2 linked regions of the Sus scrofa genome follow. The protein of the gene in region 1 purifies or fractionates together with the protein of each later gene. This does not show direct contact. Links are inferred from orthologs where the notes say so. Each region holds a gene or a part of one and is shown on either strand. Other genes may lie near its edges.

Evidence for each region.
Region 2: the proteins of alpha-1-antiproteinase-like (region 1) and DERL1 purify together in Homo sapiens (affinity purification with western blotting; 4 studies listed by BioGRID). This does not show direct contact. The link is inferred for Sus scrofa from reciprocal best matches to the Homo sapiens genes SERPINA1 and DERL1.

The regions. Positions count from the first base shown.
Region 1 is NC_010449.5:115,593,058-115,597,128, reverse strand, and holds the start of alpha-1-antiproteinase-like, read left to right. Parts: upstream 1-1,264; 5' UTR 1,265-1,333; coding exon 1,334-1,521; exon of another isoform or gene 1,522-1,631; intron 1,632-1,649; exon of another isoform or gene 1,650-1,766; intron 1,767-4,071.
Region 2 is NC_010446.5:16,334,408-16,337,924, forward strand, and holds part of DERL1 (derlin-1), read left to right. Parts: intron 1-852; coding exon 853-963; intron 964-3,517. UniProt on the Homo sapiens protein: Functional component of endoplasmic reticulum-associated degradation (ERAD) for misfolded lumenal proteins. Forms homotetramers which encircle a large channel traversing the endoplasmic reticulum (ER) membrane.

The DNA of each region.
Region 1 (4,071 bases):
TGAGAGTAGTGGTTTGGGGGCTAGCTTCCCTCTCCCTTGAGCTTGTCCCAGGCTCTACCACTCACATATCCCAGGAACTAGGGTGATCGCCTCCCTCCATGATAAAAATGAGAGCCCTAAGTCACTTGAGGTCCCAATATTCTGTAAGATGCTAACTGCATCAGGATGACCCAGTGTCATTCTTTCACGCGATACCTCTGCGACTTGGCACCTGGCAATTGCCTGTTTTCTCCCTTCTGCACCTGGAAGAAGGGGCTTTGGAGCCCAAAGGACACAGAGTCCAGCTCCTCCTACGTGGTCTCCTAGGGCTGGGACCACGGCAGTCATAAAGCCGGTTCCGTCAGGCAGCTGACATTTACTGGTGATTCACCACACATCAGGCGTGGTACCAGGCTCTGGACCTACCGGACTCATTCACCCCCTCAGCAGCTCTGGAGGATGAGTATCCAGGAGAGATGAACCCTGGGTCGTGCAAGGCCATGGGGCTTCCATCACCCCACCCTCCCAAGGGGCCTTGTACCCCCTGGTGTCTCGGTCTGTGCTCAAGAGTCAGGAGAAGAATTTCCAGCACAGCGAGGGGAAAAGAAACAAGAGTTTATTGAGATAAGAGATGCTGCTGGAGCAGAAGGACAACTTTCAGATGATCAGCAAGAGCTGACCTTGGGCGAGTGGTTGTGTCTGTTTTTATAGCCCGTGGAGAGGAGTGGTCTCAGGATATACCGGCTGACCTGCTGATTTGTTGGGGAGGGGTCTTAGGATACACTTACTGGTGGCTTGGGGGGAGGATAAGGCCCCCATAGGGGTGGGGTGAGGAGTGGGCCACTCGCCTTTCCTAGTAGGGGCAGGAAAGAGTAGGCCAGGTTGCTCGAGGTGGGGGAGGGGGCATTACAATGAGATGGGTGGGGCTAAGACAAGAGTCTGGTAATTCTTTTTTTTTTTTGGTATTTCTTTTTTTTTAAGCTTTATTGAAGTATTGTTAATTTACAAGGCTGTGATCATTTCTGCTGTACAGCAAAGTGACCCAGTCCTGCATGGACACACATCCATTCTCTCTGATTCTTTTCCCACAGAGATTATCACGGAATCCTGGGTAGGGTTCCCTGTGCTAGACAGCAGGTGCCCTTTGGCCAATCAATCGTTCCATATACCCCAGAGTGCATAATGCCAATTCCAAACCCCGGCTCCATCCCTCGCACCCCACCCCCACCCCTGGGTCTGGTAATTCTTGTCTTGGCCAGAGGCTTCGAGTTCAATCTCCTTGCAGGGGCCTTGAAGCCCCACACCTGGTTCCGCTGGGCTGGGCCACTTCAGGGAAGAACAGCAAGGCCCTCAGATGGTATCAACACCCGCTGGCTGGGCTCCGGAGAGGGTGGGGGTGGGGAAGGCTCTTCCTGGGCCCATGGGACCCAGCGACTGCGACCGCCCTATAAGTAGGCAAGGCAAGGCCCCGTATGGAGCAGCCCGCGAGCGTCCAACCAGGGAGCCTCCCCGGGGAATAAGTGAGTTCCCTCCATCTGCCGAGTGAGTAGCTCTCCCTCAGGCCCCTGCGGAGCCGACGCTGGTGGGTGAGGCTGGCCCACTGGACCGAGGCGGAAGCTGAGATACAGACACACTCGGCTCTGATCTGCCAGGTCAGGATGTGAAAGCCGCCGTTGAGTCTTTGCTGTTCTGCTCAGCACGGGCGGTAGGGAAGTGATTATTCCGCATTCCAGGCCCTCAGCCCACGAGGCCCTGGGCACACCGGCTGCTGGGCTGGGCTGCTTCAGGTTGATTTTCTCCTTCTTCCACTCTCCCCAAGCTTGGACAGGGTCCTGTGGCCTCGGGGGTCTTCACCTGGGTCTCTTCTCCCTGCAGGAGTCAGAGCCAAGTCCCCTCGGGGGCCCCCCACTCCCCTGCCCCTCTGTTTCTGGATCCTCTCTCTCTCTCTCTCTCTTTCTTTTTAACTTGTTTGTTTTTGTTGCCCAAACTCAGCCTCTGTCCACCAGTGCCGAATAGAAACACAGACACAGAGTTGGGTGAAGGAGAGAAAAATAGCTTTATTGCCTTGCCTGGCAAAGAGGCCGCCACGGGGTAATGCCCTAAAGACTGTGCCCTCCTTTGGAGAGAACGGGAGGGCTCTTACAGCTCAGGAGTGGGAAATGGGGCTGCAGACAAGAATCGGGGTAGATGCAAGTTTGCATTCTCTCTCAAAGCTGGTGGTTAGTGGCCCCGGGACGGGTTCCAGCGGTCCTCCTTCTTCCCAGAATGAAGACTTCTTCCTCAAATCGTTCTTCCACTTGCTGGGGGGTCTAGTTCTGCAGAAAGGCTCAAACATATTTTTATGTACATTCCTTGAGGAGGAACCAGGACCCCGCCTCAAGGCTGCACTGCTGTTTCTTGGAGACTCCTCCCTGGTCTCTGTGTTCCCTCCCTTCCCTGATGAGCAGCTGCCCTTTGGGGCTCAGGGAAGGTCATGGAGCCCGAAGCCGATTCCCTAAAAACAAGAAATGGGGGACACAGAAAGGCCTGTGTGCCCAGGAGCCCCACAGGGCACTAGCTGGGTTTCATTTTTCATTTTTGTTTTTATGTAGATACCGTTGTTTCCTTTTCTTTTTCTTTCATTCTTTCCTTTCTCTCTCTCTCTCTCTCTCTTCTTCTTCTTTTTTTTTTTTTTTTTTTTTTTGAAGAGAATTCTACTTTCTTATCTTGTTCCTTTAACCTTCAGGCAGCACCGGAGTCCTTGGCCTGGCCTTGTAGACCCCGTGCCCGCCACTATGTGACTGGAGAGAGCAGAGGCCCTGTGATCCTTTGTTCCCCAAATTTTCGGAAGACAGCTCCAGGTCCCCATCTCTGCTCCCTGGCGGCCACCCTCCTGCCCAGTGGACCCCTGGCCTTGACCTCTTGTTGGAACTCCTCCTCTGAGAGGTGGAGGTATACTCATTAACTCCTCAGATAACCCTGCTATCTTTTCTGTCACCTCCTCCCTTTTCTTATCTGGGTTCATGGCCTAAGCTGCTGACTGCTGGCCCCTCACGGATCCTAAAAGCGTTCGTTTGCAAAACCCACTGCCTTCTTCCTGAAGAAAGCTGGGGAAGGCTTCCAGGGGCCTGGCTGCATGTGAGTGTTTAGTTGGTACAATTCTCAAGGGCTATTGTCATGACGCCTTTTGATGGTGGGGGGGGTCATCAAAGTCCCTGCAGCCGAAGGACCACAGAGGCATCTGAGCTGCTCAGGTGACAGATAAGGCAATGATTATCTGAAGGCCTGGCACGACATGCCACAGCAACGTCCAGGGACCCCTTGACAAGGTCCTCATCCCGGAAGAATGAACACCCCAAAATAATGGAGTCCTACAAACACTTCGGCCCCAGTGAGCACGTTCAGTTAGGCATCATCCAACCCAAACCCATTCTGAAATGAGGAAAGTACGTTCAAAGCAGGCAAAAGGAAGTCTCCCTCCCCAGTGTGCCTCTGAGCCCTTCCTACCCCAACACGGGATCCCACAGGCACGCTTGGACCCCAGGGGACCCTGGGCCATGCCTAGAGAATGTTTGATTGTCACATCGGGGGCTTGGGGAGGTGCCACTGGGATCTCATTTTATCCAGGATGCTGCTAAACCCATTACAGTGCACAGGACAGCCCCCCGCAGCGTACAGTTTTCCAGCCCAGAAACAGTGCTGAGCTTGGGACCCCCTGACTCCCTGTGTGCCCAGTCCTTAGAAGCAGCTAAGCTCCTGCTGCAGGGAGGCAGTTATTGGGGGAAGAAACCCCTGTACACAGGGCAGCAGGCCAGAAGCACAGAGACCTCTCTGTCTCAGCTGAGCTTGACCCGCTGTGTGGCCTTGAGAAAATTACCGACTCTCTCTGAGCCTCATTTGTCACATCTTATAAGTTGAAGATTACAAACCACTCCATGAGACTGTTGACCAAAAAAATACAACCTGAAAGTTGAGAGTTAAGTTTTATTTGGGGTGAAATTAGGACTTAAGCCCGGGAGACAGCATCTCAGGGAGTCCTGAGAAAACGCTCTGAGGAGGCGACGGGGGAAGCTAGGATATATGAGTTTTTGCAAGAAAGGGGAGGTGGTAGGA
Region 2 (3,517 bases), on another chromosome or scaffold:
CCCATCTCCCCCCGCTTTGGTAGCCATACGTTTATTTGCTGTGTCTGTGAGTCTGTTTCGGTTTTATGATAGTACTAGTGCTTAATACACCTGACGTCTTTGCTCCGTGTGGTCCTGACTTGAACTGCATCCATAGGAGGGAGGGAATGAGTCGAGTACACAGACTCTGTTTAGAGCAGAGCAAGCTCGGTAGAACTGCCCTGCGGCCAGAAGAGCAGTCAGGTCTGGGAGGAGGTGTAGACACTGATTTCCTACAACAGGAGTCCCCTAGAGGTGAAGACGGGAGGCTATGTAGGAGTGGATCTGTGAATCCAGGATTACAAGGTGAAGGTCAGCTTTCCAAGGTGATCGCTATGATGTCTCACAGTCAGGGACACAAGGGCAAAGGCAAATGAGCCCTGGGTCCGTGTCTGGAAGAGGGGAGTGGACATGGACGCTCCCTCCTTTCCGTCCCTGCGTCTCTCTTGCCCGCCCTCACATCTGCCATTTTGCAAATGCGGTGTTCACATCTGGTAGCATTCAGAAGCTTGCTTTGCAGCTCCCCCAACCTTGGAGGCCGGAAGTAGCAAAAACCGTATTTTGAGGATGGGCTGGGGCTTGAAAGAGATGTCAGAGGAGCAGCTGGCCTTGAAGAGCACAGGCCGCGCTGGTCCAGCAGGATGGACGTCCCGTCTCATTCAGGATGCGTTCGCCACTCAGACGATGACAGGGCTCACTGTCGAGCTGTCACCGACTCCCAGGGCCCAGAAATGGGCGGTCTCGAAGGATCTGAGCCCTGTGCTCTTAGTTAAAACTTGGGGCCTCTCACTTTACTACTCGACCGTCTTTAAACTCTTGGCTTTCTGTCCGCAGGGTCATCAACGAGCTTATCGGAAATCTCGTTGGACACCTTTATTTCTTCCTCATGTTCAGATACCCAATGGACTTGGGAGGAAGAAACTTTCTGTCCACGCCTCAGTTTTTGTAAGTGTTTCTTCCTCTTTTTCAGCAATCGTTTTAACCGCCCAAGTTCTTCTGCGCCCTGATAAAAACTCCCTGAGGGGTAGGATTTCCCTCTTTGTCTGATGGAAGAATACAAGCCAACAAGGGCGTTGCCCGGGTCACACAGGCACAGGAAGCCAGGGCTCAAGGCCTCGGCCTGGCCTCCTGGAGCCCTGGTAGCCAGGGGCCACTGAGCCCAGATTCTGGCATCTCAGGGAGCTGAGGGCCCTGCTGAGCAGGCAGGCACCTGTGTGCACAGCAAGGGACCAGGGTGACAGGGTGACCACGGTTTTAGCCAAGATTTTGGCTGAGGAAGGGGTAAGAGGGTAAGTGGGCTCATTGTTAGCAGCCTAAAACAATTTGTGTATTCAGTAGTAGAGATTAGAATGCTTTTTTTTTTTTTTTTTTTGCTTTTTAGGGCCATACCTGCGGCATGTTGAAGTTCCCAGGCTAGGGGTTGAATCGGAGCTACAGCTGCCGGCCTATACCACAGCCACAGCAATGCTGGATCTGAGCTGAAACTGTGACCTATACCACAGCAAATGCTGGATCCTTAACTCACGGAGCAAGGCCAGGGCTTGAACCTGCGTCCTCATGGATACTGGTCAGCTTTGTTACTGCTGAGCCACAGCAGGAATTCCCTAGGCTAGAATCCTGAAAGGACTTTTCAGAGTTACACACAGAGACCCGAGGCATGTATAGTCCTGCCCCGGAGGCTGTTCTTGTACCCTGTCTCCCCGCAGGATGTGCAAAGGTCAGGATGCCGAGGGCCCAGCTTTGGTTTGGGGGCAGACCTGGCCTGGAGTCCTGTTCCCCTCCTGTACCAACTTTGATACTGGGGAAGTGACGGAGTAAATGCTCCAGGTCCGTGAGTCGGGGGGAGGCCCTGCAGGAGGTGAGACGTGCAGGAGGTGAGACCTGCACCGCAGTGGGCATTCTGCAAATGCAGGCTCTCAGCCTCGCTCCTGAAGTTGGGGCTGGGAGGACGGGCTTCCCACGAGCTCAAAGAGATGCTGACACGCTTAAGCCTGTAAGCGGTGTGACCCCTCTGTCAGTGAAGCGAAAGGCTGCTGAGGAAGGGACCAGTGACATTGCCATCTGGGTGTCACCGCCGGCCTCACAATCACGCCTCATCTCCACTCGTGCATATGCGATAATAGCTTGCATTTAAAAGCTTAAAAAAAAAAAAAAAAAAAGCGAAAAACCATTTTCATGTCCTGCTCATATTAATGTTTTGCAGTTTGTCATTCTTCCAAGGGGCCAATGAGGGCAGTACAACTTGAGTAGGCACCCCTCCACCCCTCTTTCCTAGGTTAGAGGAAGGTTTTTGAAAGACTTCTTGAGATAAAATATACAAACAGGGAAGTACACTGTTGTTGTACGTGTGTGTGAGATACTGTTGGTGTGTGTGCGCGTGCCTGCGTGCCTGCGTGTGTGTGTGTGTGTGTGTGTGTGTATGTATGTATTGGAAGGTTTGTTTTTTTAAATGGCCACACCTGCAGCATATGGAAGTTCCCTGGCCAGGGATTGAATCCGAGCTGCAGATATCAATACTGGATCCTTTAACCCACTGCCCGGAGCCAGGGATCAAACCTGCACCTCTTCTGTGACCCGAGCCACTGCAGTCAGATTCTTGACCCCACTGCGCCACAGCAGGAACTGCTGGTTTTATTTTTTTCATTAAAAACGTAAAAAGAGATTCATTTCCCTTCCAAGCCTTGAGTCGCCTTCCCAAACCCAGATGACCGATCTGCTTTGTAATTGTCAAAGCACACGATCACAGCAGGTTTGGATTTTTCATCTTGGTTTATCAGGTGGGATGGCAGATGCATCAATTAAAAAAAACAAACACTTGTTGCTTTGTGGGGACAGCCGAGGGTGATTTTACTTTAAAAGGCCGTCGTCTTCATGGCTTGGAGAGATTTCTCGGTTGTGGACAAGAACGTCTATGGGAGTCTAGTGGCAAAATCAACAGCACGCTGGCGTCCGTCTTCCCCTTGAGCTTTCCCCGTTGGTAGAAGCCCTTCTGTTAAATTTTGCATAAAGATCAGATGACAAAATGTAGCTCCTTGCACAGGCAGTAACTGCTTTGAAATTACCATAAATCTTTGTTGATTATGTATAATTGGGTATCTTTTTATACTAATTACTTGCATTTAATTTCCCTATCTGTTGAAGCCCTGGAGATGGCTTCCATATTGTCTCAGAGTAAGAAGCAAAGCAAGACAGCCCTCGCGTTGCCTTTTTTAAGTCTCCTGATTTATTATATACTTCGGAGGCACGTTATTGTGCCAGAACGGCATGAATGTTGGGAAACCGGCGCTTGCAAATACATGTTGATGGAATGATAAAACTGTATTTGTTTAAAAAGGAAGACGTGAGCTACAGAATTCTAAGACGTATCACGATTCTGCATCCCACGTAGAAACGTAGACAGACCCTCTTCTGTGCACGGTTATTTTTCTGTTTAAACGGGGTTTGTTGCTGGAGGGGAGGGAGGCTGCCGCTGACAGGGATGATGCAGACCCATGAAGGG